Neodiprion lecontei: one gene and its partners. The protein of the gene in region 4 purifies or fractionates together with the protein of the main gene of each other region. This does not show direct contact. Links are inferred from orthologs where the notes say so. Each region holds a gene or a part of one and is shown on either strand. Other genes may lie near its edges. The genes, in order: serine/threonine-protein phosphatase PGAM5, mitochondrial; DNA-binding protein Ets97D; serine/threonine-protein kinase 10; kelch-like ECH-associated protein 1B.

What was found.
Region 1: the proteins of kelch-like ECH-associated protein 1B (region 4) and serine/threonine-protein phosphatase PGAM5, mitochondrial purify together in Homo sapiens (affinity purification with western blotting; 6 studies listed by BioGRID and IntAct, with this or other methods). This does not show direct contact. The link is inferred for Neodiprion lecontei from reciprocal best matches to the Homo sapiens genes KEAP1 and PGAM5.
Region 2: the proteins of kelch-like ECH-associated protein 1B (region 4) and DNA-binding protein Ets97D purify together in Homo sapiens (affinity purification with western blotting; 3 studies listed by BioGRID). This does not show direct contact. The link is inferred for Neodiprion lecontei from reciprocal best matches to the Homo sapiens genes KEAP1 and GABPA.
Region 3: the proteins of kelch-like ECH-associated protein 1B (region 4) and serine/threonine-protein kinase 10 purify together in Homo sapiens (affinity purification with western blotting; 3 studies listed by BioGRID and IntAct, with this or other methods). This does not show direct contact. The link is inferred for Neodiprion lecontei from reciprocal best matches to the Homo sapiens genes KEAP1 and SLK.

What each region holds. Positions count from the first base shown.
Region 1 is NC_060262.1:36,220,184-36,228,851, forward strand, and holds serine/threonine-protein phosphatase PGAM5, mitochondrial, read left to right. Parts: upstream 1-2,297; 5' UTR 2,298-2,432; coding exon 2,433-2,602; intron 2,603-2,900; coding exon 2,901-3,079; intron 3,080-3,216; coding exon 3,217-3,431; intron 3,432-3,621; coding exon 3,622-3,755; intron 3,756-3,895; coding exon 3,896-4,046; 3' UTR 4,047-4,932; intron 4,933-5,154; exon of another isoform or gene 5,155-6,063; 3' UTR 6,064-6,185; coding exon of another isoform or gene 6,186-6,268; 3' UTR 6,269-6,309; intron 6,310-7,236; exon of another isoform or gene 7,237-7,372; 3' UTR 7,373-8,183; downstream 8,184-8,668. Other genes in the region: NFX1-type zinc finger-containing protein 1, read right to left, coding at 1-553, 1,238-1,349, 1,753-1,780; calmodulin, read right to left, coding at 6,186-6,268, 8,626-8,668. UniProt on the Homo sapiens protein: Mitochondrial serine/threonine phosphatase that dephosphorylates various substrates and thus plays a role in different biological processes including cellular senescence or mitophagy. Modulates cellular senescence by regulating mitochondrial dynamics.
Region 2 is NC_060263.1:31,529,319-31,536,485, reverse strand, and holds DNA-binding protein Ets97D, read right to left. Parts: upstream 4,645-7,167; 5' UTR 4,461-4,644; intron 4,356-4,460; exon of another isoform or gene 4,112-4,355; intron 4,036-4,111; 5' UTR 4,029-4,035; coding exon 3,738-4,028; intron 3,634-3,737; coding exon 3,483-3,633; intron 2,721-3,482; coding exon 2,629-2,720; intron 2,555-2,628; coding exon 2,320-2,554; intron 2,153-2,319; coding exon 1,635-2,152; 3' UTR 822-1,634; downstream 1-821. Other genes in the region: protein unc-50 homolog, read left to right, coding at 5,211-5,302, 5,364-5,515, 5,672-5,858, 5,990-6,123, 6,285-6,386, 6,520-6,656.
Region 3 is NC_060264.1:26,525,638-26,531,108, reverse strand, and holds the start of serine/threonine-protein kinase 10, read left to right. Parts: upstream 1-2,201; 5' UTR 2,202-2,299; intron 2,300-2,800; coding exon of another isoform or gene 2,801-2,833; exon of another isoform or gene 2,834-2,848; intron 2,849-2,878; coding exon of another isoform or gene 2,879-2,983; exon of another isoform or gene 2,984-3,046; intron 3,047-3,229; exon of another isoform or gene 3,230-3,471; intron 3,472-4,014; exon of another isoform or gene 4,015-4,074; intron 4,075-4,216; exon of another isoform or gene 4,217-4,267; intron 4,268-4,354; 5' UTR 4,355-4,932; coding exon 4,933-5,091; intron 5,092-5,190; coding exon 5,191-5,355; intron 5,356-5,471. Other genes in the region: NADH dehydrogenase [ubiquinone] 1 alpha subcomplex assembly factor 2, read right to left, coding at 912-1,358. UniProt on the Homo sapiens protein: Mediates apoptosis and actin stress fiber dissolution.
Region 4 is NC_060263.1:38,075,261-38,083,565, forward strand, and holds kelch-like ECH-associated protein 1B, read left to right. Parts: upstream 1-2,564; 5' UTR 2,565-3,129; intron 3,130-3,862; 5' UTR 3,863-3,878; coding exon 3,879-4,181; intron 4,182-4,561; coding exon 4,562-4,726; intron 4,727-4,867; coding exon 4,868-5,535; intron 5,536-5,619; coding exon 5,620-5,868; intron 5,869-5,955; coding exon 5,956-6,254; intron 6,255-6,362; coding exon 6,363-6,565; 3' UTR 6,566-7,382; coding exon of another isoform or gene 7,383-7,440; 3' UTR 7,441-7,497; downstream 7,498-8,305. Other genes in the region: uncharacterized protein LOC107225684, read left to right, coding at 7,383-7,440, 7,519-7,714, 8,173-8,305. UniProt on the Homo sapiens protein: Substrate-specific adapter of a BCR (BTB-CUL3-RBX1) E3 ubiquitin ligase complex that regulates the response to oxidative stress by targeting NFE2L2/NRF2 for ubiquitination.

The DNA of each region.
Region 1 (8,668 bases), on a different chromosome or scaffold from region 4:
TGCATCATTTTTCAACTGTTCACGAATTTTGTATCCATCCCTAAGCTCAATAGCTGTGGTAATTGGGATTATTTTTTGTAAAATGGGGGTTAATTCGTCCCTAGCTTTACTCGGCAATAGTTCCATGATTTTTTTAAACAGCACAATCAGGTTAAGCCAAAAATTATCCTTGTCTTCATGGTATAGTCTATTTTTCATTTTGTCAATAGCACTTTCAAACGCCAATTTTGTCAAGTAACTTTCCAATTCTTTGAGGAATTTAGGTGAGCAAGCGTGGCTTAGTACACTAGTTACAATTTCAGCAAAATTAGCTTGCGAAACATTGGTCAAAACTCGCAATGTGACCACCATGAGATCTGGGGTGGTAATGTTGTTTAATAATTCTTCGAAGTCAGCTTTCTTGTTGGTTAATGTTGTAACAACATCATCACTATTGCTTATACTCAAATCATTCAACCGTCTGAAATTGAAGAATCGTGTACTATACTGATCTCTGTTAGTCGGTTGCCTATTGGCACCACTACTTCTGCTACGATGCTGACCTCTGTTCTTGCTGTGAAATTAATGAATATCATATTATTTCAAGAAATGTTATAAGACTTCGCAAAGTACAATTGCTTATTAAGTTTCGTTCTATCAATAAGTATAAACGATTGTTCAAATACTCCTTCAATTAAAATTGATTACATATTAGATAAAAAAATTTTAAAAATGCAACTAAGTAGTAGATTTTTTTCAGTAAATTTTGAAACAGAATAATTGTACAGTACTGAAATATCCGTGTGTAATATATTTACAATTGATCAATAAATGGACTGATGGTGATAATTATCGTTATGAAGCTTTAAATTACAGTTGGTTTTATTAGAGGAATTAGAGCTTTATTTCTCTCAGAAATTTTCAAAATATTGTGTTTACATCTTATATCTAACATATGTAAAAGTTCGATCACTGGCATAAACTTATATTTAGACTTTCCGGCAGTCTAAAGGTTAAATTGAAGATTATGAACAGGAATTGAATTTTACCAAATGTCATATTTTGTATAGCATATAGAGACAGTATTTGTAAGTTTCCAAAAAAAGTTCTTATTGTACAAGGAATAATTGGAACAACTGGGTGATCTACCAAATACGATTTGTAAATGTTTAGTGCAAAATAATTGGAAATTTGATCACAATAGTAAAATTCAGAAGCAGGAAATTGTTGGATATTGTATCAGGTTCAGAGAACTCACTTTGCATTGGCATTATGATCTTGGGAATGATCATTACGCCGATATGGTGTTCTGTTATTGCTGTTATTCACATTATTATTTCTTCCACGATATCTGCAATGTGGACGTTGCCCTGTAAATAAAACAAAAAGCATGAGTTTTGATCTGTTGTTTTTCTTATAGCTTATAATCTACTTCCAAAGTTATGGACTCGGTAAAATTTGATGAATTATGGTATACCGACATGTTTTTCTTCAAGCTAAAATTATGAAATTAATCAGTCAACTGACAGACCACGAATATTACATACGACTTTACTATTTATAAGAACATATCAAAATAACAGATAGAGTTTTGTGAAATAATACTAAATATATCGTTACGATTGTATACAAATCTTCCAATGACTGCACTTTTAGGAAAATAGGTATAACGTTTATGCAACTTAACACTTTTCTTTGAGGAAGTTTGATGTATGTATGTACGTTTAAATGGAATGTTGATCACGAACAAACGACGTTTATGCACATACATACCAGCGTCTGGTGGGTTTGACCTATCCATGGTATTTTGCCACGTCAGTGCCCCGAAACCATGAATATTGCGCTTCACTTGGCTCTACGATTTAATAACTTCACTGGATCCTTATTAACGTAAGAACTAGAAAGTGGCAACTCTCGTGTAAAGGCCTAGCATAAAGCATAAGCGTCTGGACGGTCTGGATCAAATCCTTCTTGGTCGAAAAAATCTGAATAAATGCACTTCACAGCTAGAGTCACCGTACGAGTTTATCGCGTCGGGGAACTCCCGCGTTTCGTACTCCTAGTGCCGGGAAACTTCTCCGCAGTTCTCCGCTCTGCTGCTTCCCGACCACGGTCTTCCCGACTGTCGCCGACTACACTGGGGCAATGTTGAATTACATACATTAAACTTCTCTCGCACACTGTTTCGGCCCCCAGTGAATCACACTATACTTATATCCTCAGTCAACGACGGCATGGGTAGCTGAGCGGAAAGGCAGAGCATGTCCTACCCTCTACATTTTCACAAACTCTATGGAAGTTCGTTTTTTGCCACAGCTGACGACGGTTGGACGACAGCTTCCACCGACGTTGTGACCGGCGTGTGTGTGGCTCGTGCTTCAAAAACGTCATTTCATCTTTTCACACGCACGACGTAAAGATAAATGTAGATTTATGTAACCAGTTATCGCAAAATGCCAGGATTAACGAAATTTCAAAAATATGCCATCTCCGGACTCGGCGTTGTCGGCGGAGCTGCACTGCTTTATTACAATGTTTACGGCGGCGGTGAATCTATGCATGTGCTTAACTCCTGGACCACGAATTTCACTCCATCTGTACAATGGGAGCACAATTGGGATAGGTTAGGATCGATTGGACTACAAAATTATCTGCCCACTGTTTTTGGTGGAACGCGCGAATCACGCAAATTTTTTCCTATCTGAATCTCTTATTTGCACACTCACGTGCTTAATTCATTCGACATAACCAACACGCAGCATAGTAGTTCGTGTTTCTAACATGTAAAGACGTTCTGTAATTCGCGTTCTTGTCCTCGGGATGGAAAATGAAATTTGTATAATACGGAGCCTAACTTTGCCATCACAAAATCACAGTATTACTCTGAATCTTTCATTCTATTTTGATGTTGCACTTTTCAGACGTGAGCCAAAGTCCTTGGTCAAACCTGTCAAGATCAACTCTGAATCTGATGAGAATAGGTACAATGAAGATCTGGCTTCGCAAAAAGTGACCGCTACACGTAATTTGTTCCTTATACGACATGGACAGTACAATACAAATGGGAAGACCGACTGTGAGAGAATTCTTACCAATCTCGGTGAGTAGCTTTGAGACGACAGGATTTTATGGTTCCCAATGCTCTTGGCAGTAGATTTGGATATCATATTCTGCACAAACTGCTTCTGCAGATTTTTAATAAGCATTTCAGATTTTATTACGATGTTCATATTTCAGGCAGAATACAGGCAGAATCTACTGGCTCACGCCTCGTTGAATTGAACTACCCTTACACGCTGATCGTCAGATCGACGATGAGTCGGGCGCAAGAGACGTCTAAAATTATAGAAAAGAATTTTCCCGAAGTTCCTACAAAAGACGACAGTCTTCTGGAAGAAGGAGCGCCTATTCCTCCCGAACCACCAGTTGGTCATTGGAAACCTGAAAATTATGTAAGCATTACAAGTATTGTTGTCAATTTCGTTTTTCTTCAGAATCGTTTTATGCTCGTTTTAATTTGCAATCAGTTATAAATTCCCACAGCAAGAGAATAGTGACTTCAAGCGTAGAGTATATATGAAAGATGTTGTTCCGTTATTCGTCTCTTTGTGTAAAGCATGTTTCATAAGCAGCTTGTTGCAGCAGTTCTTTCAAGATGGAGCTAGAATAGAAGCCGCATTCAGGAGATACTTTCACAGGGCAGATCCTAAGCAGACGCAAGATTCCTATACCGTACTCGTTTGTCACGCAAACGTGATAAGATACTTCGTCTGCAGGTAAAGATTGATAACTTTCGCTCAGGTCATTTCTTGAATAAATGTTGAATAAATTACTGTTTTTACCCTCGCAATGTGCCATAATACGATAACATGAATACCTCTTAAAATTTGTAAAAAGTCTCTAACTTTCTTTACAGAGCTCTGCAATTTCCGCCAGAAGCTTGGCTACGTTTGTCATTGAATCACGCAAGTATTACTTGGATTAGAATATCTCCTTCTGGTAGAGTTACTCTGCGTTGTTTAGGCGACACTGGGCATATGTTACCTCAAAACGTTACTGCCAACTAAACTAATTGTCTACTAAGTAACAAGTGAAACATCTTCTATTTTTTAATCCATCAAAATACTTTTAATTTAAATTTGAATACATTTGTAAATTAGTATTACAGTAGATAGTATTAATTAATTAATGCAATATAATATGCATACACGTATTACATTTATGGGTATTTTAGATTGAAATTTACGGAGGTATGAAGGTGACTCATTTCTTTCGTTTTCTTAGGTCTCATGTTTGAAACGATAACGTTGGGTTTTATCTGTTGCAGTTTTTTCTTACAAAATTTTGCTGAATCGATACATGTATAACGTTCACCTGAAACTGAACGGCATCTTTTACATCATTTTTTACCGACATAATACAAATAGTTATCATTGTTTCAATCATTCAAAGTACATGATCACTTGTAAATTTTCCCCTCAAAATATTTCGATTGTGTTGATCGTATACATTTGTAGATTTAATGGAAATAATTATTTGTCAGGTTATTGTAATTTTGAAATTTTGAAAGTTGGCATCAATCAAAGAATTCAGCAGCCAATTATAAACTTCTAAGGTTAAAAAACATTTCTAATGATTTCCTGTGATTCCTGTACTCATGTCACATCTTTTTTCGCTCAGCAGGTACCTTGAACTAATCTAAGTAAGTCATTATATTGCTGGCTGTGAAAATGATAGATTGTGGGAAAGTTAATGAAAGCGAACTCTCGCCTGAAGTATCCGAGTAACTGAGAAACGTGCGTGATTAGACCAGAGATAGTATGATCGTCACGACTTCCCAAGCTGTCCGTTATCGTGAAAAATTAGACCTTCTCTCACATCTGGTAGAAAAGTCGATGATTTTCACTGCCAGTGGGCAAAGGGTACGGGTGGAAGGAGTGAAAGATAAATTGCGTGAGTAACGTTTTGTGATCGATTTATTAGATTTTCAAAATATTTGGAACAGCATGTAGTTTATCGTTATAATTATTTATTAGCATAGTAGGTAATAAGATATTTAAGGTACGAGACTTAATAAAAGTATTTAGCAATATAGACGAATATAATCTGAAAAATGTTCAATAGTAGGTACCATGATTCATTTAGGTTTCTTTTTCTTCATCCGTACGCGATATAATTATTATAATGTCAACAACGTTATAGAAATGTATAATGTGTATCTTTGAACAAGCATGAAAAACGACACTCCACATTATAGTAGACATTATGATATAGAAATGGGGATATCGATTATTTTTTTACTTTTTTTTTGTAAATCATCGTCGTCAAATGTTTCATATTCACAAGATTGATCCACAGTGGAAATATGATACTCCTGCGTCAACGAAAAAATTACGCTCACGTTGCACGAGTAAAGAATATTTTTCCTACGTAATAATATTTATTACCGATTACGTAAACGAGATAGAATAGGATATGTTTGAATTTTAAAATCGTTTAATTGCTTGTAAAATATGTTCTCGAATTTCGAATTTCGAATACCAGTCGCAATTCTTTCACACTAGATTGAGCAAAAACCGGACAAAAATACGACAACTTTTAAATTGGGAGATCTCGAAGAAGGAAGGTATAATAAAAGGAAGACTTCTGGAATCGCATTTCTTACTTTTACTTGTTAGATTGGAAGCAGTTAAAAGTTTAAACTGCGACCGTACAGAAATCGAATGTACATTTACAATCTTGATATTCGACTGGTTTTCGATAATGGTTCTGTTGCCGTCGAAAAGTTGCACGTGTGCTTTCTAGGGGTGCCGAGTAATAGGAACACGTTCGATGTTACCTGGTTTCTCCTCACCTTTTCTTTTTTCATATTCGTTCATTCGTACAAATTGACTGATCAAAAACCCCGAAAAACGAATCAAGACGCGTTATACCTCATTGCTAGGGAAAAAACCGAAGTTTTTTTTTCTCTTTTCATCAAAAGATAATATTTGAACCAAATCCATTGCCCTTGTGGCCCCGTTAGAATAATATATTGAACAACTTTCGGGGAATTCGAAAACTTTTAATTTTCTTCACGCACAGAAGGTCGAAGATTGAAGATCGCGACCCCTCCGGACACAGTGCTGCACAAAGATGCTCTTTATCGACGGCAAATATTTAATTTATTCTATCTAAGAAGATCGAAGCGGAAGATACAGTAGAATTTAGTCTGCTGGGGACTGGGGCTCGTCTTCCTCGTCCTCTTCGTCCTCGTCAATCCCCGGCTCGCCAAGCGCATGGACGAATTCTGGAATCGGACGGTCGGAAATTAATTGACATTGAATTAACGTGAGTATTTTTTCGAAGGACGAATACTCGTACATCGACGTGGGGTGTGATTCAACGTTTCAGAGAGTTCGAAAGCGTATCGGCGTAGGGTTCTTTTTTACCCTCGATTTTACAAAATGCCCTGCTTTTACACACCTATATCCGGATAAGCGAGAATCGCTAGTCTGGCAAATTGACACGTAAAAGCTATGCATCAGTCTTACAGAAGCGGGAGGTAGATTTCCTAAGGATTTGGGGAGCCGTAAAAGGCAAACGTGCGCGCCTTGTGATCCCGATGACCCCTTTTTCAAGACTTTGGCGTGATCCGCGTCTACGTCGTCTCGTATGAAGCGCAATGCGAACGGGAATTCGGAGGCGCTAGACTTCGGGAAAATCCCCAAGATGAAACCGAAAAAACAAAAACATCAATGTGTAACTAATTAACGACTCGTGCCTCGAGTTTTTCCGCCGCATAAGCGACTGTGCAAAGTATCTTTAAATCTTTAACGATAAGAAGTTCTCTGCAAATATGTTTCAATATTTCAATTTTAGACGATAAGCTCTCCATTATTTTGAAAAACAATTTTAAAAAACCACCGCCGGATTTCTGTGCAGATTTTCTACGTAGTTTAGTATCAAATATCTCGTAATATCTCTAAAATAATTGTCTCCGTCGTATTGTTAAAATAAATTCACCGGATGAAGTTTAATTTGCTCACGGATGAAGGTTTGATATATTTAAATCGATTTTTCGAATTATACGAGTTTGAATGCCGATCTTCTTCCCCTATTTTTGCATTACGGTCACCGGAGTAATTGCGAATGTCCAAGAGTCAAATAGGAGGTTACTCAAGCCGTTCTTCAGGGACGAGGACCGTCTCTTCGAATTATTCATTCGGTACCGCGTACACCGCGCGCTTTTATTATCAAATCTAATTTCGATTGCAGATGCTGGACCTACGGCCCATGGTATCCCCCAACCTCCGACCCCTCACCCCTTGACCCAAAGGGTGGCAAACAGAACTTACTCAGGCATCGCATCCCCTGTTAAGCCATCATCCACTCAAGTGTTGAACTTTTGCAGGGACGACGCGATCGGCTCGAAGATTTGGGAGCGCAAGAGGGATGGAGAGAGAGAGAGAGAGAGAGAGAGGGAATCGCCTAGCTTCTTCTGAATAGTTATTCGTGGGAACTGCACCCTCCTCCGAGTTTCCGATCGCGCGACCCTCGGCTGCTTTTCGTGCAACACATGCGGTATTTCTCGGGGCAATAGAGAACATGAGCAAGAACTAATCGCGGAGGGCTACAAGTTTGCCAAACTAGACGTAGGCACGGCTCTCCCTCGGAGAAACCTACGATCTATGTGGCATTAGCAAATGGTCAACTTGTGCACTTAGCTTTATGCCTGGTCCTCTCTCTCTCTCTCTCTCTCTCTCTCTCTCTCTCTCTCTCTCTCTCTGTAGAGTTTAAAATTCGACAAGAAAATTGTTATGTCATATTAATAACAGACGCGTAAGGCTCGGCCCGGTATCGAAAGAAAAGATCTGAAAATTTTCACGTCAAAAGAAGATCATTAACACGAAGTGCAGATGTGTTTTCGGTGGTTTTTTCATTCGATCGCACTTATAATTTGCGAATCTACATGTTTTTGTTGCGAAAGCGAGTTTATCCAACTCGTATCTCCCATGCCTGCGTGTGCTGTAAGGGAGGTACAGTGTGTGTGGTTGACGAGAGGAGCGCTAGTGTGCATGGATGCGCATAGAGTGTTGTTTGTTTGTCTTTGAAAAAAAAAAAAAAACTTGGCAACCGCATTGTTTAGCTTAGTAACCACGCTGTTTGTTAGTAATCACGTTGTTTTCGTTAATGTATCAATAAAGTTTTATTATCCAGTCTCATCCGAGTGAAATCGTCAACTAATTAATATATAGAGAATTGAATCTCATCTGAAATATCCCATCAGTTTTTACAGAACGTCGAGTGTTTTCCCAAGATTTATCTAGGTACAAGATAATAAAATGGACCGCGAATCACCCCATTGTCATCGCAGTTTTCGCCTTCTTACAGTGAATCGGCTCGCGATAGGGATGAAAAGGTGATAAACTTTACAATGATCTCGTAAAATGCATTTTTATCAAATCCCTCGGTTCGTCTCTTCTCGTCCTGCATGCATCATTCTCCGCACACAGCCGTGTACCTATGGTGTAAATATATTCTCGCACGGCCGATTTGATTATTTACGAACCGGAAGTTTACCGTTTCGGAAAATGGTACACGGCCGTGCGTTTTCCCCGCTACACGAGTAAAGGGTCCAAGGGGAAGGTATGATATAAGCCTTACCGTAAAAATCGATGCGACCGTCTCCGTCGACGTCCACTTCCTT
Region 2 (7,167 bases), about 6.5 Mb from region 4:
AATAGATCCGTGTAAAATAATTATCGAGAGAAAGAGGGAGACAGGGGGAAAGAAATATTGACCGCGAGAACAAACAACGAATGAGAGAAGAATTCTTGCAAGAAATTATAGAGAAGGAAAATAACGAGGAGGAAGGATGAATGGATGGAAATAAGGAAAAACGGAAGGCATGGCGGGCGGGCGTGTATAGCCTGCCGCATCGCCGATTCCCTGAGACCCTAACTTGTGACGTCGCATCCGATATCTCACAGGCTAGATTCTCTGGTATTGGCGATGAGTGCTGCCTTTGCCAATGAGTAGTATGTCAGTTCCGGTGTGATGCTCTGTGTTAAAAGTGAATCGTAAACGATCGTACCGCAAAGAGAGAGAGTTCGCAATCACTTTACATTCGAGTTTTTCTTATTGTTTCTTTATTTTTTTTTTTTTTACCTTCACTTATTTACCGTTGCTCCTGTTGTAAATGAATATATGTATGTACATATGTATTTCAACTACGTAATCATATTGCTTTTTTTTATCCAAAAATAACTAAATAATTTTCGTTTATTTCATTTTCATCATTGAAATAAATTTTTACCATCAACAGTTGTACAAACTTTCACGTGTACGTAGGATATATACTATATGCATGTAATGTATATACAGTTATTTATCGTTTGTCTATATAAACTATAGATATGTTAATAAAAATAATTGCGATTATTCAATCTTGCATTATTTGGTAAAACTTGTTTTATACATCTACAATCCCCGTTGATATAAAAAATACAGAATTTCTAATGTCAAAACTGTTATTAACGCTATTCTGAATTTTACGATCTATTACCTACTATCTATATTATCTATAAATATATATATATATATATATATATATATATATATAAATATATATATATATATATATATACACACATATATATACATTTATAATTATAATCCCTTGTTACTTAAATACGATCAAACAATTGCAAGGTTCTGTCAACAATAATTTGAATACACAAGTACGCTTTCAATCTTGTATCATGTTACAGAAGCGAAACCAAGATTCATAACTACTTCGTCTTTATTTTACTTGGAATTAAAATATATATGGTATCATTACGTGGAAGAAGTCAATTTTGGTTTAGGAATGTCCTGCATATCGAAAACTTTGATCGCGGCTTATAAAAAGATTTTCATGTACAAAAGTTAGCCAAAGCCGTTATTTTATTGGTAAATAGTTTACTTCGATCTTGTTTTTCAGGAGCATTACTCAACTTGACTAGGTGGATCTTCGCACCTAAAGCTGACTCCTTTCACATATACTCCACTTTCATGTACATTAACAACCTTGTCTTTATGTCAACTACGTTTGCAAAATGTAATCCATAAGAAAAGAGTTTTAACGTTGAACAGATTAAATTCACACCAAGAAGCAAGAATGATTTAAAAGAACCACAATTCTACCGTTTCAGTTTGTTTCTTTAGTGGATTTAAATCTTACAGCGACAAAGTAATAATAATCTATTGTTTATAAAGTTCATGTAAATTTTTCCTTGCTTGCCGTTCGTTAATTGAACTCTTTATTGGCAAATACTCCAACTGTAATAACATCATAACTGTGTTAACTGCGTATTACCACACTTATATTCTTTTCAGAAGTATCTTCTACCTTCTTCGACAAGCCGACTAAGTTCCGCGGCAGAATATCCTAACAGCTGTTTAAGGTCGCAAACAAACTTGTATACGAATCGCTTTCCATGAACTTTCGATATCATGTCCCCGTCATAATAATACCGGAGTGCTCTGCTCAGTTTTTCATAATTCATCGAAGGTTTATTTTTTCGAGCTCCCCAAAGCTGAGCGACTACTTCGGGTTGATTAAGTTTAAACTCTCCTTCCGTTCCTAACCACTGAATAGCTCCTCTGTGCTCTCGATCCGTTAATAATTCCAACAGAAATTGCCACAGTTGAATTTGACCGTTGCTTCCTGTTCGGTTTGACGTCGCAATCGTTATTCCAGGCGAGTCAACACTTCCCATCGGAACACTCACTAACCGGGGCTGCTGATTCAAACTACGTGCTTTTGGGGTCTTCTGATTCCTGACCTTTGCCGACTTAAGTTCGTCGGTATTACCGTTTGATGCCATGGGAGGATCCTTCTGGACAACAGCTGCGAAATAATTATTATTTATATGAAATACATGTAATTTCATGAAATTCAAAAAAATTTTAACAAATGTGAAGAGCTAAATTCTGTAAACCACTGTTAGAAATAAGTACTTGTAGAATTTGAAATAGAAAAGTGAAGCAAACAGTAAACATATTACAAATACTTACCAACAAACTTGCATTTCCTGAGCAACTCCAAATGTGTCCAAAAAACATCGCCAGGATCGAGTGGAACTTTTGATTGAAATTCGTCAAGGGTTAAATTGCAGAGTTGTGAGCCTGTGATGTTCCAGTCGGCTAGTCTCAGAGAAACTAAATTGAACTGCCTGACAGCCCACTGCAACCAATGCTTTACATGGGCTTGAGACCAGTCTTTGGGACTTGCTGGTATTTTCAGACGTTCCTAAACAGACAAATAATATACTGTAAGTGAAAATATTACTGAATATCTTTATCTAACTAACTGAGATTGTTTACCTGTTCCTTCCTATACTGTGGGTCTACCATCCACCTGATGACATTCTGCTTTCCCTCTTCATTGGGTGTTGCCGCCGCTGAGCTTTGCTCTGCTGTATGATAGGATGAGAAAAGTAAGACTTTCAGCATGTAGAGATATTAGTATTAGTTTACTTTGACAAATGAGAAAGATACACGACTATCATAGTACTATTTAATTGGCGTGAAACCTTATTTTCTGCGATAACAAAACAGACATCTGTCATGTGAATGGTGGTTCAAACTTTGTAAAATGAATTTCACTTCATTGGCTATTAGCTATTGATAGTGGTCACATGGAAACAAACAAATGACCATTTTTAAAAAAAAATGAATGAGTGTCATCTTGATTCCAAGATGATTATTGATTTGATTTCAATTTGTAGTTTCTAATTTGTAGGAGTGAGTATGAATGTTTTTGAAAAGATGTATTAAATTTTAATTTTAAAAATTAAACTTTGCTGAGAGGATATGGCAAAATACAACATTGTTTCTGTTCACAAATTAATTAATTAACACTTTTCTGAGGAGTTTGAGATCTAAAAAATTGCAAGCATACCAAATATTTACTTGGAACCCTAAGATGACAAAGTAATGTTGATGAAATAAGTTATTCAATCAGTTTTATACAAATATACATAAATTACTGATAATTAAATCACATCAATACATATCATATTTGAATGAAATTTATTTGAGAATGTCATTAGAAACTAATAATAAGAGTGAACATGTGCAATTTTGACTGATCTGACATGCAAAATGTAATAGTCACAAATTTCTTAGCGCAGTTGCTTAGAAAAAAGCACAACATTGGATACAAAAAATTTACTCACATGTGTTTTCAGCCAACTCGATGTAATCTTCAGCAGGTTTCAAGACATCCACAATATTAATGCGTCTCTGATTGGCTTTTATTTGAACATTGACTTGTACTAGTCCCTCCCCCTGAACGCATTGGTCAACCAAATTTTTGTGACTCTCAAGCTGTTGATGTAATTTGAATTGTAATAACGAGGTATACAACATATTGCAAATGCGTTGTTATTGATAAATTTTCATTGGTATTTCGTTTCTTTCATATCACGTACCATCTGAGCATCTTGGAGCCAAAAGGAATAGTCCATTAATTCAACACCCAGTCTTTGTTCGAGTAGATTTCTTAAGGTTGATAATGGCTCTCTTATGTCCATGTGCTGCATCAGTACACCTTCGTTAGCATCGTCTCCATTAGTTACTCCGTCTAGTGCAAAACTGGGCTCTACTTCTAAATCTGAACTCTCCTGCTGAAGCTGAGCCATTATGTCATCTTCCTGGGACAAAATTGCTTCTGGTTCCATCTTTATCCTTTTTATCATAACAAAATCTGAGTCATCATCCATGTTGAACCTGCGAATGAGATTAACAAATTATCAGATACAGTTGGCAAAAGGTTAACTAAAAAGGATGGGTTCAAGAAGGATACCTGATTGCTGTATCTTTTTTCGATGGTAGTGTAGTAAGACAAGACACTTATCGTTAAGCACATGCGAAAATATCCGAATGCTCAGTCAGAACGGGCAGAACGAGCGTTTTCTTTGGGGTTAGGATACCGTGATTGACGAAGTAAACAGAATTTTTTATCCGTCATAAAGTTACGTCGATGGTTGGAAACAGATGCTTCTTACGTGTTGCGAATTGAAGAAATCTTACAGTCATATAGCGGTGATCTAATTATATAAAAAGAGAATGTTAAATTAAGTCAAGTATTTTAGGTTAGGTTAGGGTATTTTCCCTAGCATACAACAGATTCGGAGTACAATGCGGATGCTCACCCTTTTTCCGAAATTTTTCATCGGTAATTTTTTTCCATCAGTGACCTCGTCCTTCAGAAAAAATCCACCCCTTGTAAACTTGATCGTCAATTAAGTACTGGTACGCAAATTCGTAAGCTTGATGAAATTGTGATTATGAACTTTTCGCACGCGTATACAATGACAGACGCACAGCGCCACGGGCGCCATGGGTAAAAAAAAAACATTCCTTGAATTCACTCACCCATTGGCTGTCCTCTATTCCCGATGACGCGGACGGTGTCTAACTTTGTAATAACTGTCGCGTGGGTTCAAGATATGGAGATGCTGGCTTAATGTTAAACGTCATCTGTATGGCGTCATTCGTGTTTCTGATTCAGGCTCTAAACCACAGTGAAAGAATTAAAAGTAAAGTAATACGGAATGGTATTGACCATAGATGTGGAATTGCACATTCCTGCCGCATGGCAATGAGATTGAAGCAAGAATTTTACAAACTGTCGTTTAATCGAAGATTCCAAGATTCCTAGTTAACCTACAAGAATTTGACAATTTGATGTCTTCGCTGTAAAGGTTTTGTAGATTTCAACATTTTCAATTTTTGTTATTTGAACTTCATTTCATCACCTCGTAATGCGTCAACTGTCTGAAATTTTTTTTCTTTAAGATTAATGGAACAGCAGATAATAAAAATGTTTTTTCGCTTTGATAAAAGTTCATTTTTTTTCTCCCTTTCTAAACATACAGAAAATTCAGTCGAACTTTGAAAAAATGAAGTATACAACCTCGCCTCCAATAAGTCGCAGCACTTCCCCGTTATCTTTCAAATCAGGGTCCCCGCTACCAATGCCAGTGACTTACAGGTATGTCGAACCTCATACGAATCAACCGGAGCTCTCAACTTACCATATAATTATTCCACAGACAGGACTGCATGGGAGCAGCAACAAAATGCTATAAGTATCTGAGGAAATTATTGAAGTTTGAGCAGATGGATTTTGAATTTGCTCTTTGGCAAATGTTGTATCTTTTTACAGATCCACAAAAAGTATACAGAAACTTTCAGAGCCGAAAGCGTGAGTTTAAACTTGAGATCAAGTCTGAAACCATAAAAATTAGTGACGTCTTCATTGATAACTGAAAATAATCTCAAAGTAATCTAACTAAATACATAATCTATTTTCGTTTTTGATTACAAATAGTTCTGATATATTGGCTTTTTGATTGTGTAGAGACAAAATCCCAGTTCGCCAGGGACGATCCTGCATTTTTGGTTCTACTGAGTTGCTGGTTGTGCATCTCATCGATAGGCTTTGCAGTTGTATCAGGGCTAGGATTTTTCCAATTTTTCAAATTCCTGTTCTACGTCATTTTGGTAGACTGTATTGGAGCAGGGATAATTGTAGCCACGTTATTCTGGTAAGGATTTACTCAAATTTGAAAAACCTGGTACTTGTTCATTTCATTCAGGCAGCAAAACAGAAAATGTATTCAGTTTTGATGAGATATCTTCAAGATACAGTTGATTAATTAATTCTACTTATTTCTAGGTTCGTAAGTAATCGTTACTTAAGAATTAACAATGTCCAGGATGTCGAATGGGGATATGCATTTGACATTCACCTTAACGCGTTTTTTCCACCTCTTACGATTCTACATTTTATACAGCTATTTTTGTATAATGGTGAGAACTATGCATTTATTGGAAATTTACTGTAACACCTACTCATGAATATTAGAATTCCCAAATTGGACTTGACCAATCTTGCAGAATACATATATCAAGCGATGATTCACCATTTAAATATTCACCGAAGATGAATTAATGATGATTCGTTTTCACAGGACTGATAAGCCACGAGGGATTCTTTTCTCGATTCATTGGAAATACATTTTGGCTAATCGCTGTTAGCTACTACATTTACATTACATTCTTGGGATACGCTAGTAAGTATATATTACATGTTTTTCGTATTTTTCCAATTGGAGACAGTATTATAGCAAATAGAATCCATCATATATATTTGTAGATGTAATTCTATGGATTGTAAGTAAAGAAAAATAATTATATTTCTTTTAGGTGTACAGATCCTTCACAAAACACACTTGATATTAGCTCCGCTACCCGTAATGGTCTTAACATATATTATAAGCCTGGCAATAGGCTTGAACATCAGCCATCTTGTGATGACCTTTTACCTTGAACGAGTTGTTTAAAATTGTACATGTTTTGAGATAAGAATAGAACTATTATTGTATAGTATATCGTCTGATTTGCAAATAAAAAAACTTCTGTATTATATACTTCAGTCCAGAAAGAAATGTTACCGTATCCGTGATTATATACCATATTGTTCTGAATGGTAGTCGACTCCGGATACAAGTCTACCTCTAGTTTTCAGTCTGCATTTCGGGACAGTTTTTAGGTACTGAGTATAAGTCGACTCCTACGACAAAATTGATATCAGAAAAATATATTTACATATTAATTTATAAATTGCAAAATTTTTTGGTAAGTACATTTTATCAAAAAAACTTGGGTAAATGAAAATATCGCAGGTTGAATTCCATTGGTCTAGTTTTATGATTGAACTATTAATCAAAAGAAATTTCAGTCCGGTAAATTTTCTAATACTCCCGACTATAAGTCGACCCCGCGTATAAGTCAAAGACAGTTTTTGGCGGTCATTTCAGCAAGATAAACCTTGACTTATATACGAAAGAGTAC
Region 3 (5,471 bases), on a different chromosome or scaffold from region 4:
GCGATAGGATTGATAGTTCAAGTTTCAGAGTTCATTTATGTATTGTGATTTAAATTTGTATTAAATCATTCTTGATTGACTGGGCAGACCTGCCGAAGTGGGCAGTATTCCGTTCAAGTTATCGATGACACGTCTATGCTGTAACCATGCACTCATTATCACGAGTGTAGCTGCAGTGAAACTATGAGTTAGATGCGATAAAGTTTACAAACGAGTAACGCAGATCGGGTGAGAAGCTTCACTGTGAGCCATACATATTTATCTTGACGTAAGAATTAGAATTTTTATTTTGTATATCGTGATGGATTCTCACACTTTGTAGTCAATCGAGTTTGTAATTGGTACGTAGATACATAATATTATACCATGTTGCTCGAATGTACTACACGCAATGTACGATGAGGTATACTTAACGTCAATAAATTTTTTTGCATTTTAAATAAATGTATTGATTACTAAACATCGTGAGTCATCTTCAGAGTAAGGAAAGAGTATGAGGTAAAGTAAAAACGAAGGGGTTTCAATTATGCTTTCTATTGAAACAGAGTATTGACATGAATTTACTATGAACAATTGATTTCTACCAATCAACTCTCCTTTGTGACTGTACAAATTATTGAAGTTGAAGGATTCATCGCAAAAGTACAAATTATTGTGTACGATTGTTACATAACATGTACGTCATCGATAATTATATTATACACAGGCTACGAAAACAATCAGCAATCACATTCTAACAATTCGCTAGAGTATTAAACTAAAGTCATAACATTTTTCACTGGTTGCACTTGATTCACACTGAGTGTTATTTCTCCAGATTCCAAACAATAGCAGAAGTGGAATCTTAGGAAATGCACTTAGTGAGTATCCAGTGTAGCCAGTGGAAAACATTATACAAGCGCCTCTGAACATTACTCTTTGCTGTCCTTGAATCCTTCAGGATACTGATAGTCTTTATAAGTTGGGAATCCAATCGCCTCTGGCAGTGGTGCCGGTTTTGACTTTGAGGATCTTGTAGCTTCTAAAGCACTTTCCAATTCAGCTGCATTTTTCTTCTTAGTTTTCATCAGTGCCAGACTCTGCAATACTTCAGCATCTGACGGTGGTTCTTTTCTGCGATACCTTAGCCACGCTTCCCATTCAGCAGGTACTTCTTGCTGAAAGTCATCTTTGTTCACTGGTTCGAAGTAACGTGGTGGTTTTTTTTTTGAACTTGTGGAATGTAGCGGTGTTTCATAATACTTGGTACCAAAGTGATCAGTGCCTACTAGATCTCCTCTAAATCTACGTGGTTTAACCGACTCTATGAAATGTTTCCAGATTGTTTGAAAAACGCCCCGCGTCGGTTTACCTGCCATCTTAGTTCCTCGATATGTTGATGTATGTCTGCACCCTGCAAACCAATTTAAATCACTTATCGGTTGCAAGGCCTTTTGCTGGGGTATGTTAATATGTATTATGCGTCTTTGGCTGCAATAACCAAAAGCCCCATATTTTCGTTCTTAACCTTTCCCAGACCTGCTGAAGTTTCGGGGTTAAGTTGTAGAAAAACACTTGAAATTTGACATGTAGAAAGTCTGCATCACTGTAATAATTTCTACTCTACCCTTAAGAGATAACTTTGCGTGTACTGAGTGTCGCGAAGGAGTGAGAGAAGTATATGTTGGTATAATCTGTCTCTCTCGCTCTATACGTGATTGGATATATATATATATCAATCATATCGGCTGCATTTTCGCGAGGTCGATGGGATAGGTAGCTCCCTCCAGTAGTAGGTATGCTTTAAGTATATGCTCTAGAGACTGTACTACGGGACTCTACCTGGAACTCATATAGGTATGTAATACTACTGGAACTACAGGTTCCTTTGGTATATTTCAGTGATCTGCAGCGACGGCTACGCGAAAATGAGACCAAATTAGACCCAATCGAAGCGAGAGAGATGAAAACGGCTCCGTGACTGTAGACTATTTACTACTCGTGCTGTCCGACACCGTTGCCAGACTCGCCAGAGTCACCAGAGTAAAGTTGAGTGGGAGATACACAATGATGCGTAAAGAATGTCGTTACAAGCACGGATTACATAAATTTAACCAAAAATTTACAGTACCCAGCTGCTCGACGGCTTGTGATTAATATTAGAATAAACAGAATCAATACAATTCTCTTGATTTCTCACGTAGAGCTGCTGCTACCTTGGACTCTGCTAAGCTACGATGCAGATTGCTACTGCGAACGAATCTGCAGGATTTACGCTCAAATAAGTGTCTGTTTACCGAAGAACAAGCTATGATGTAGTGTATGTGAATTGGATTATATATTTATATGTATATTTTCGAGTTATCGAATTATGCGATTGAAACAATTTATATTGGAAATTAGTGAGCTTGTACAAAAATTTTTTTGTGAATATTACAATCGAGAAATGTCGAACCACCTGTACACTACATCTTTACTTGCAAATTATACATTAACCTAACCGATTATCGGAATCGTTCGAGCGTTTGATGTCCGTGGACTATAACAGGATTTTCTTCGTAGGGCTTCGCAGGCTATACGATAATTTAATAATATAACATACGAGAAATGAGCTGTAACGCGTCTGCTCCAAGAAGTGAAGAATCGAGCTTCGGCAACTAGTCTGCGTCTGATTTCCGAGAATTTTATTTTGCTTGAAGACAACAGTTGACAAAATATCATCCACAACAATAACTACGAATACGAATTCGTACATACAGCAGCGCATCACAGTCAGAAATAGAATAAATGTATTCATATATACTCCGCAGATGATACCTACGTACGTTGTTGACACGCGACACGACGTTTGCATGCACCTGAATTTTTATTATTCCTTCTCTTTTCTATCTATACATACAGTCTTTGGGTTGCCGACTGATTGTCCATGGCGATGGCGGGTGGGGGGCTGAAAGGCGGTATGTATCGTGGCAATAGCCAGTCTTGATATTCCTTGGGAGTACATGCGTACCGACTTACGGATACTGCACGTTGACCGTGCAATTGCTAGAAACAGCAATAGCCATCGGTGACTAGCCTGACAATTTAACCCTCGATAAATACGCGCGTTAGTTTAAAGTTGAACGAAGGTTGGGTACGGTGCGCCCCCCCCCCTGCTGCCTCGTACGTACGCATACACACACAATGTACAATACACTCCATGGTTGAACATGGGTGGATCAGCGGTTTACGTCACTTCCAGGCGTGGTGTGTCCGTGTCTCTTTGAGAGTCGTGTGTGCGCTGAAAATGGCCGTGTTTTAACCAGATTTATCAAGCCATATAATTTCAAACGTAAATTTTTCCCGCTTATCTCGCTTGCCGTTTCGTATTGAAACTGGTTCTATTCTGTGATATTACTTCAATATTGTTGTACACCGAGTGTCATTTATTCAGTGCCGTGCCTTCGACAGGCTGCTGGATAAGATGACTATTGGTACCGATTGGTCGATTAGGTGAGCGACTGTGTTACATACAGATTTTGGTACTATTTTCACTATATTTTTGCAGCCTTTCACTGAAATATAACCTCCGGTTATCGATTAAGAAACTATTACGCCGTTTGGCGTTGGTTCTGTAGTTTTAGTACTACCGATCGGAATGTAAATGTATGTGGAAAAATAAAGAGGAGAAAAAAGGCCAACAAAAACAACACTCAATGTGACAGAAAAATTTCGTTTCACGAATTCGTTATCGGATAATTTTTGGACTTATTTTTTACTTTAAGTTTCCCGAATTTGAGGAAAAACTTCTTGCCGTCAGCGTAAAAATGTCTCCGTTCTGGAACGTATGAAACAGGTGCTTTGCATCTCTTGATAACTCGCAAATACGCAGGTGGACGTCTAACCAAACGATGTCGATCGTATGATCAGCTGTATTAATCATTAATTCGACGCATTTTTACGTACATATATACCTAGAATCATTGTTCAACGTGATGGCTTCATGTTAATATTTATACGTTTGAAATTCATAATATCACTGCTCTGTCTAAACAGCCACTTGTATTTGTTGAATCAGTATTGGAAACCTGACTTGGATCAAGGCCAAGGGTGTAGGTATGTTTTACGACCGCTGACGATGCACCTTCCGTTACAAGCTCACGCTTATGCTTATCTTTCTTATCTCTGTCTTCATTTTTCCACTCACTCATAGCTAATATCACATGTTAAATTAACAGCTCCATCAGGCTTGCAAATGTGGTCTAGATAGAGAATTGAATCACCCAAAGAAGTGACCGAACGTCCCAAAGTACCTAATGTTTTTAAGAACCTAGTATCAAGAGCTTTATGTATCTTTATTATGTAATTTTGCATGAATTGAATATTTCTGTTACAGATTTTGGAGGTTCTAAAGTGGTTAATTTTTCATTCAATCTTGGATGTCTGGAAGAAATGAAGGGCCTAGCCCTTGATGACCCACACCGACTGGCGACGAGTATCGGTACTGGCTCGCTAGACACCATTGAAGATTAAATCCGTCAAGATGCGGGAGAGATTTGTGACGATACCTCGACGTGTCGAGGGGGTCTGAATACCACAACTATTGGTTCAATTCGGTTCCTGCCTAGGAATCAAGTCGAGGATGTTTACTGATTTACTTTTGTACATGTGAAAAGATAAATTTACTGGACTGTACTAATTTTTTTTTTTTTAATGTTTGTATTAACGTTACATTTGATGATATATCTTACAACGTTTGTGACATTTTCACGTCTGCGTTATGAATCATCTTCGTTATTGATTATAATTACTGTCTTGCGCTTTATATGAAATAATATAACAAGGTCCTGTATTAATTATTCAATATAAGTCTTATAGTCATTTGCCAGAAGCCTGACATGCTTCAATCAATTATATGGACCAAGTCAATTTCGTTTATTTGTTAGTCAAGTTTTAGGGTGTAATAAGTTCAAAATGTCGTTTTTATCAAATTTGAAAAAAGCATTCCACTTCGGTGGCAATGACGCGAAGAAGAAAAAGTTGTTCAATAATATTAAAATGGATTGCGACCCGGAAGAATTTTGGGAAATGATCGGAGAACTTGGAGACGGTGCTTTTGGCAAAGTCTACAAGGTAAGCAACTACATTGTTGTGATTTTATCCCTGAATCTTTATACAAAACACAAATGAAAGTACTTAGTAATTTGAACTTTCTTCTGTCATTCTTACTAGGCACAGAGTAAACAGACTCAGCAATTGGCTGCAGCTAAAATGTGTGCATTAGAAGGTGAGGATGACCTTGCAGATTTCATGATTGAAATTGATATACTCTCAGAGTGCAAGCATCCAAACATCGTGGAATTACACGAGGCCTATTTTATGGAGGGAAAACTGTGGGTGTGTACACAGAGCATTTGCTAGATTACCAGATCGAGGCATCTAAATTTATCATTTGTTCAGATGTTGGCCAGTCATCTGTGCAACACAATTACTGTTGTCTTTATCAATTCATT
Region 4 (8,305 bases):
CAAACATAGATATATCTCTGCAAGTGATCAAAGTATTAAAATTTTTGACGACCGAAGCTCGTCAAAACCTGATTCGTTATAAATTTATAAAAAGTAATAAGTAAAAAAATCTATCTCCACTATCCGATAAAGAATCGCTTTGTGATCTAATGAAGAAAAAAAAAAAATTTATTTACTCCTACTATCTAACGTTAGACTATTAGAGTGAATGCATGGGACTAAATTAAAGAATTAATTTTAAATGATTCATAAGCGAGGCCTTAGGAGTAGTCGTATCCGCCCAATACTTTACTTACTAGTATTATTGTATTTGGAAATTTCACTATATTATATTAGAGAATATTTAGATATTTAGTTGGACTGTTTATCGTTAGAAAGACTATAATTATACTTATTATTAAACTCTCGAAAGTCGTAATCAGTAGGTTCCTATGGATATTAATACCGATGCAAATTTTCTCACATGCAATATAAACGAAATATGGGTTGCCGACTGAAGATAGAATATAATTAACGGAATTGCCAGTGAGGAGTGATAGGAGTATACGTATCAAATATAAAATGATACAGAATCTCGCACTCAGTTTGTCATTTTATATTACCAGTATGAGGCTTCTACATATGCATTTTACAAAAAATTTGCTCGGTAAAGGTTTGCTATCAGTACTGAAATCTCTAAAGCAGCATAAATTTAATGAGATATATATCGAAAGAAAATGTCGAGGAAGGAGATCGAAGTAAAGTAAAAGTATAAAATAAAATTCAATAAAATAAACACATAAATAAAAGTAAATAAATAAACAAATAAATAATATATAACATAATAATATACTACAATGTCGAACTCTGATAAATTGAATTCTTACAGTAGATGATGAGGAATAACTAATTGATATTGCAATTTATTAAAGAGTGATCAAAATACAAATAATAGGGGGCCAGTCTAGAGTCACCCGAGCCTAAGGAAATCAAACATAGACTTACTAAACTAATTTTAGCTGTAATATTTAAACAGGTGGGATCAATCTGTGATTTAGTTGAGTCGCTTTACTGTCCTTTGTTTTCTATCTAGACACGTCGCTGAAATATAATAATGCGTACTATATTTCAGTGAGTCACGTGGAAGATTTTTCTGTTACTTATCTTTATCTTGTTTTGGGCCATCTTTCACAAAACGAAAATCATCTTATTTCTCACGCTAAATAAAGTCTGAATCAAAGGTTGGTCTCCCGGCTGACTTAATCATGCGCTGCCAAGTCTGCCTTTGTAGTATACAATTCTGAAAGAATTTTAATAACGGAGGCTTAACTCTGTAACGAAGATAACCGTATAAACAGTATAAAGAATCGCGATCATATCCGCCTGATAGTTTATCATTTTTCAGTTATTTAAATCAAAGCATTTCAGTATTTTAACTCGCGACCTGGTAGCGCACGGTTGTAAGCTAGGTTAGGTTCCTCGTGACCTACCTCGTCTCTCTTGTTACGCCTACTACTACACTGTTATTGTTGATGAAAACTCCATATTATTATAAAATAAATATTATATTGTCTCAGGTTTGAGACTATATATTAAATCATCCCATTCGATCCTTATGTTACATCTTGTATCTATCTCTGGAATTCCCTAAATCATATTCCTGTATAATAGCCGCGATACGTAACACGTATGCGTGAACGATAGATTTATAAATAATGTACAGATAAAGTGTAAAGTACAAAGGAAAAAGCAATCTCATGCTGCGGTGGCTTTAAGCCAGTCATGCTCTGTCTCCAAAGATTTATTGTGAGAGAGGTCACAGTGTGAATTGTCCTTTGCGGTAAACCGTATGAAACGATGTTAAAATGAAGAGACTGCTTTGTCCTCTCCACCAAATTCTTCGTCAAATGAACGATACGTAACCGAACATTGCTTCGATTAGAAAATACCAATGTCAATTGTCATTCGAGACTTGCGTTTATTACCTCAAGGCCCGCGGGTCCAATAGTAATCTACCACTCGTAAACTGAATGAAAATGATCTTATAAAGGTGCATCAGTGTTGCACATCGTTATACAGTTGTAGGTCCCCTGAGTGTGCAAAGAACAAGACGAAAGAAAACATTGAGTATAGTTGTGATAAAAAAAACAGCTGTCTACGTGATGTACGAAAATTTTTTTTACTCGGTCTCCTGGGTACGTTCCGTGAATCGCATAGTCATAATGACTTTCGGAAAATAAGCAAGGCTAATAGCTAGCTAAGCTGACCTGCAGGCGTGAATGTGTGGACATGTATAGGTCATATTACTCGAATTATTTTATCAAAATATTGCGACGGCAGTTTTGATTCCTTGACAACTGCATAGTGAACACCCCTTGCGGTTATTTCATTTTAATTCCATTCATCAACGGATATCTGGTCGCGAGTGTCCGACAACTATTCAATCAACAATAGACTTATATGTGTGTATATTTTATACGAGTGCCTTCTCCAGAGGCCTACATGACGTACTTACGTACATACACACATGCATATCGTATGAATGCGCTGCCAGTAAGTTACGTGCCAAAGGCTGAAAGCTCGCATGATCGGAGATAACTACATATTTGAATCAGCAAGTCATTCTAGCCGAAATTTGACCCCTCCAGGTGATATAGAGCTTATACTCAATGGCCAACAACTAATCGAGATGTTAAAATCGCATATTTGGAAAAACGTTTGTCCTCTTGCCGATCCTTTTTCTTTTTCTCGTGGATATCAACGTGCAGGTTTTTTCGCGCGTTTTAAAGTGACACGTTGCGTAAATAGTAAATTTCAGTTTTGACATTTCTGCCACTTTGTCACACGTTGGGCGGTGGAAAATTAAATACTCGTGAAAATAAAATAATACACAACTGACGTTTAACACCGTCAACTTACTGTGCGCTAATTTGCATACCGTATTGTTGTGTTTCGCCCAAGTGTAGTCGTTACAAATTTCTTTGAAACACTCATTGTCATGCGGGAATCATGATAAACAGAAAACTCTTCAGGATGTAAAATTGGTAAATGGTGTCATTTTCTGGAGATACATAGTCAAAATCGTTACTTGTGTGGTTTATAACCTCAAAGTTAATCTGATTCGGATCTGTTCAACGCTACGGACACAAGGTACATACACACATTAAGTTATTATAGAAATACCTAATAAATATTATGGGCCGCTTAAATTTCCGAAACCCTTGCTGCGCCCGTGCATGTGTTGCATTTCTTCATCATCGATACTCCATGCTCGGTATCATGTGTTAAAAACCATATGAGGCATTTTTTGGCAAGCCGCTGGTACAGCTACCAAAATGAACCAAAATATAGTTTACGTCACACACAATATTGTTCTGGTACACCTTGTTTGCTATACCGGTGCTTGCCAGAACATGCCTATTTTGGTACACCTATCTGATTGTACGCAAATTTACTTTTCATACGCAATATGCAATAACTGCACTTGTAATACTAAAGTTAATTATATTTAGATTCCAACAGAATGACCAGATGTATAACAATGCTAAGACGTTCATCAATGAAACTATTAATTCCACAAATAGAAACGATATACTCTTTTATCTAATATCTTATGATTTCACTTAACTCCATTTTTTCTTATCATTTATTCATTGTCATTTCCGATCTAGGCTTTTGTCACATACTGTATGGAAAATTGTACTTGTTTGAATGGAAATATTTTCTTTTGTCAAATAGACTTAATATTGTCAATTACATTTTACGTTGTATTCAAATCTGAGATAACGACATGATTGAAAAACTATTTAGTCCCTCAAAACAACCAGAACGTGTGATAACAGATTGATAACAGTAAAAGTAATTTTACTCAATTTCTACCTAGCTTATGATAGATCATCATGGATGGTGAAGAGGATTATTCGCAGATGGAAGGAAGTCGGTGTAATTTCACATCATTCGGTAGAAGTGATGCAGCAGTTGATACCAGTGAAGAAAAGGACCAGAACCTTAGTCCGGGTAATGAGAAACATGGAGACCTTGGCGATATGACATTTTGCATGGCTAATTATATAAAAGAAGCTATGAAAATGATGTTTATGATGCGAAGTCATCACATGCTTACCGACGTTATCTTAGAAGTTGGACAAGAACTGTTCCATGCACACAAAGTCATTTTGGCTGCGGCAAGTCCTTATTTTAAGGTATCATTTTATTTTTTTACACCTCATCCACATCTAGTTATTCCCAGCTAATATTACTTTCAGTCTAGAATCATGAAATAAACATCTTTTAACTTTCAGTTACTACGTGTATATTGTTTAAAAAACAATCACTTCAAATAATTTAACATACTTTATTCAAATTCGTCTGATTTTCATTTATATCAATCAATGCCTCACTTTGTAAGTCCTGATTTTTTCATAATACTTGAAGTGTTGATAGTACAACATCCCGGTGGTCAGGAATAATTTAACACTGCTGAATTACAGAAAGCGTTCATTCAATTACTGCTTCGTAGTCAGTGATACTGTCAATACCTCGTGTCTGTTTATAATAAAAATTTTCTTACTCTAAATTCTAGGCAATGTTCACGGGAGGTCTTAAAGAATGTGAAATGACCAGAGTCAAATTGCAAGGGGTTTGTCCAACAGCGATGGCTCGGCTCATGTATTTCATGTACACGGGACAAATAAGAGTAACTGAAGTAACAGTCTGTTCGTTATTACCTGCGGCGACAATGTTTCAGGTACAGTATTCCTAGGTAATTGTCATAGGTTATAAGCTGAGAAATGTTCAAAAGTATTCCATAGCTGATATGTATTGAATAAAATACACGATCGTTCTTATTGTTAGCTATGTGTCGAAATATTTGACATTCGAATTACAGGTTGGCAATGTAATAGATGCATGCTGCGTATTTCTCGAGAGGCAATTGGACCCAACAAATGCTATCGGAATTGCAAATTTTGCTGAACAGCATGGTTGTCACGATTTACATCACAAAGCAAATCAATTTATCGTGCAACACTTTAGCAGAATTTGTCAAGAAGAAGAATTCCTTCAACTTACGGCCATACAATTAATTAATTTAATTAGAAAAGATGAACTTAATGTACAGGAAGAAAGAGAAGTTTATAATGCAGTGTTAAAATGGGTGAAATACAACGAGGAATCTCGCGGTATTAAAATGGAACATATATTGCACGCAGTTCGGTGTCAGTATTTGACTCCGAGCTTTCTTAGGGAACAAATGAAAAATTGCGATGTTTTAAAAAAAGTTCCAGCCTGCCGCGAGTATCTAGCGCAAATTTTTAAAGACCTAACATTGCATAAGAAACCAGTCGTCAAAGAGAGGACACCCAACACACCAAGAGTCATTTACATAGCAGGTGGATTTCTTAGACATTCGTTGGATGTTCTTGAAGGGTATAATGCCGACGACAAAGTTTGGAGTCAACATGCTAAGTTAACAGTGCCTCGTTCCGGACTTGGAGGAGCATTTTTAAAAGGCATGTTTTACGCCATCGGTGGAAGGAACAATTCGCCAGGAAACAGGTGAGATTAATAACATGTAGATATTGGTTCACCTGCTTAGTTCAAGTAATCGTTAACAAACAGTTTTTTTTACTCATCTTCAAGATACGACAGTGATTGGGTGGACAGGTACAATCCAGTTCTTGACCAGTGGAGACCCTGTAATCCCATGTCAGTGCCAAGGAACAGAGTGGGAGTTGCTGTAATGGATGGTGTATTGTATGCGGTAGGTGGCAGCGCAGGTGCAGAATATCACAACAGCGTTGAATGTTATGACCCGGATCAGGATACCTGGACAAATGTTAAACCTATGCACACAAAACGATTAGGAGTCGGAGTTGCTGTAGTAAATAGGTATGACGAATGCTTTTCAAGATTCCATTAAGCAATCTTTCTCGGGCACTTAAAAAAAACCTTGACTCTGAAATTTCGTATTTATAGATTGCTCTACGCAATTGGTGGATTTAATGGAATGCATAGATTGAGTTCAGTAGAATGTTATCATCCAGAAAATGACGAATGGACCATGGTCTCTCCCATGCGGTGTTGTCGGTCAGGATCTGGTGTAGCAAGTCTTGGGCAGTACATCTATGTGGTAGGAGGCTATGACGGATCTCGTCAGTTGAGCACAGTAGAACGTTACGATACGGAACATGATTCATGGGAGTTTGTGAGCAATGTTTCAGTTGCGCGCAGTGCTTTGAGCGTAACTGTTCTAGATGGAAAACTTTATGCAATGGGTTAGTGTCTTGTGTATATATCGTAATTGACACGATTTTTTTTTTTTTTTATGACAATTTGAATTCTCTCATTTCATGTATAAGTTTTATTGTTCTTTTCCGTTACAGGAGGGTATGACGGACAGACCTTTTTAAGTATAGTAGAAATATACGATCCAGCCAAGGATCAATGGGAACCAGGAGTGCCTATGACTTCGGGTAGATCAGGTCATGCGAGTGCGGTTTCTTATCACCAATGTCCGTTGCATTGTGATCACTTGGAACATCACATTGTTTCTAGTGAAAACCGATCAACGAAACGCACATCTTGACACCCTATGTCGAATTCTGTGACCTGATGACGCGATTTAATTTATTTATTTGTAAATGACGTGTAGTATAATAATATAGTGTAACGATAGTATAAGGAGATAAGACTATATTGAGATTGATCTTAATCAAGCAGGTAGTGAAGCTATGCAGAGGATATTTTTGAATTCTGAGTTGCCTAGAAAGTGCTTACATAAATTGAGAAAAGTGAACTGTGCACAAGTTCCTTCAAACAGACTACAAAACAAGTTTGATTCGATTTCATATCTTCACCTAGATATCTTTGGTAAGTGAAAAATTAAAATAGGCAAGTGGGACAATCTTAGTGATACAAACTAGAAGCAGAAAGCAATTCCAAAGATCACTCAATCAGTAACAAAACGATGTACCCATATTTACTATAGGGCGAATGATCTATTTTCTATAATTCTCTTCATTCTGTTTACGCAACTGATTGTTGTACATTATTTTAGTAACTATGCAAACACCTAATTAATAGTATAATTTGTGATTGGAAAAACCATGAGATATTCGTTAATTGGTAATACTTTTTAATATCAGTACCTGTCACAAGGACTAAAAAGACAAGAATAAATTGGAATGTTGATGATTTTTTCGCAAATATCAAAGGAGTTTACTCCACATAGTATAATATTGCAAGCTGAAGGCAGTCATTTTGTATTTCCATTGTTTATCAAAATGCACGTTCAAGACCTAGAACTAACTTTTCAAATTCCAGATGAAACTAGTCCCATTAAATATTGAATAATTTCTGTAAAATTAAAAAAAATTTTAAAAAACACAAATCTGCGATTAAACATGTTGCCACTGGAGTGTCAAAATCAACCGACTACCTGTCCTATGTGTCTAGGAAAAGGTAATGAAAAAACTTATGTCAACTTGAAATATCAGTAAAAGTTTATTAACAGTCAAATTCAATTTTATTTAACTTTAGGGTATTGCAATGAAGATAAGTCAAGGCTCTCTTTCAGTCAAGAAAAGTCCACACTTGTTCATCCTAAGCGTTCACTACGACTACCAGCTATAAATTCTGAAAATACAAAGCTAAAGAGGCATTCTTCGAGTTACAGCTCTAATTTTTCTGCCACAGAGGGTATCGGGGATGTACACTTACCAAAAATACTTCATAGGTACTACAGATATTATATTCATTACGGAGAGAATTCGGTTCAATTTTGATTATCGGTTGAAAATTGTCATATAAAAAAAATTCGTCCACCAATTTTCAAATTATGGTAGTATTGGCTTTTAGAGAAAATTACAGTCTCCTGTGATGAAAGTGTATGCGCAAAGAATTTTGGGTAGCGGTGAGCAGAATCTCCTTGGAGAGGTTCCTTGTATGTACGTACGTACATTTTGATCGCAGGAGAATGAATTTTTTTTTTCAATGCCTATACTACCATAATCTAAAAATTGGTAGAAGATTTTTCTTAATCGACTTTATTTAATCAGTCAAGAATTAAAAACCCGTGTTTTGGTCAAAGTTTCACCAAAGACTCCCCTTAATTAATGAAGATTGAAGCTTTGGACAAGTTGCAAAGTTCTTAGCAACAATGCTAGCTTGTTTATATACCTCCTTTGAACACAGCAATTCCGTGTATACCGAATGCAGCAGAACCAGTTTAAATCAAAAAAGCATGCTTTATCCTGGTGGAGATAATATGAAGCTACAGGACAAAAATTATGCGACAGCAGCTCTAAACTTTGAAAGACCACAAGAT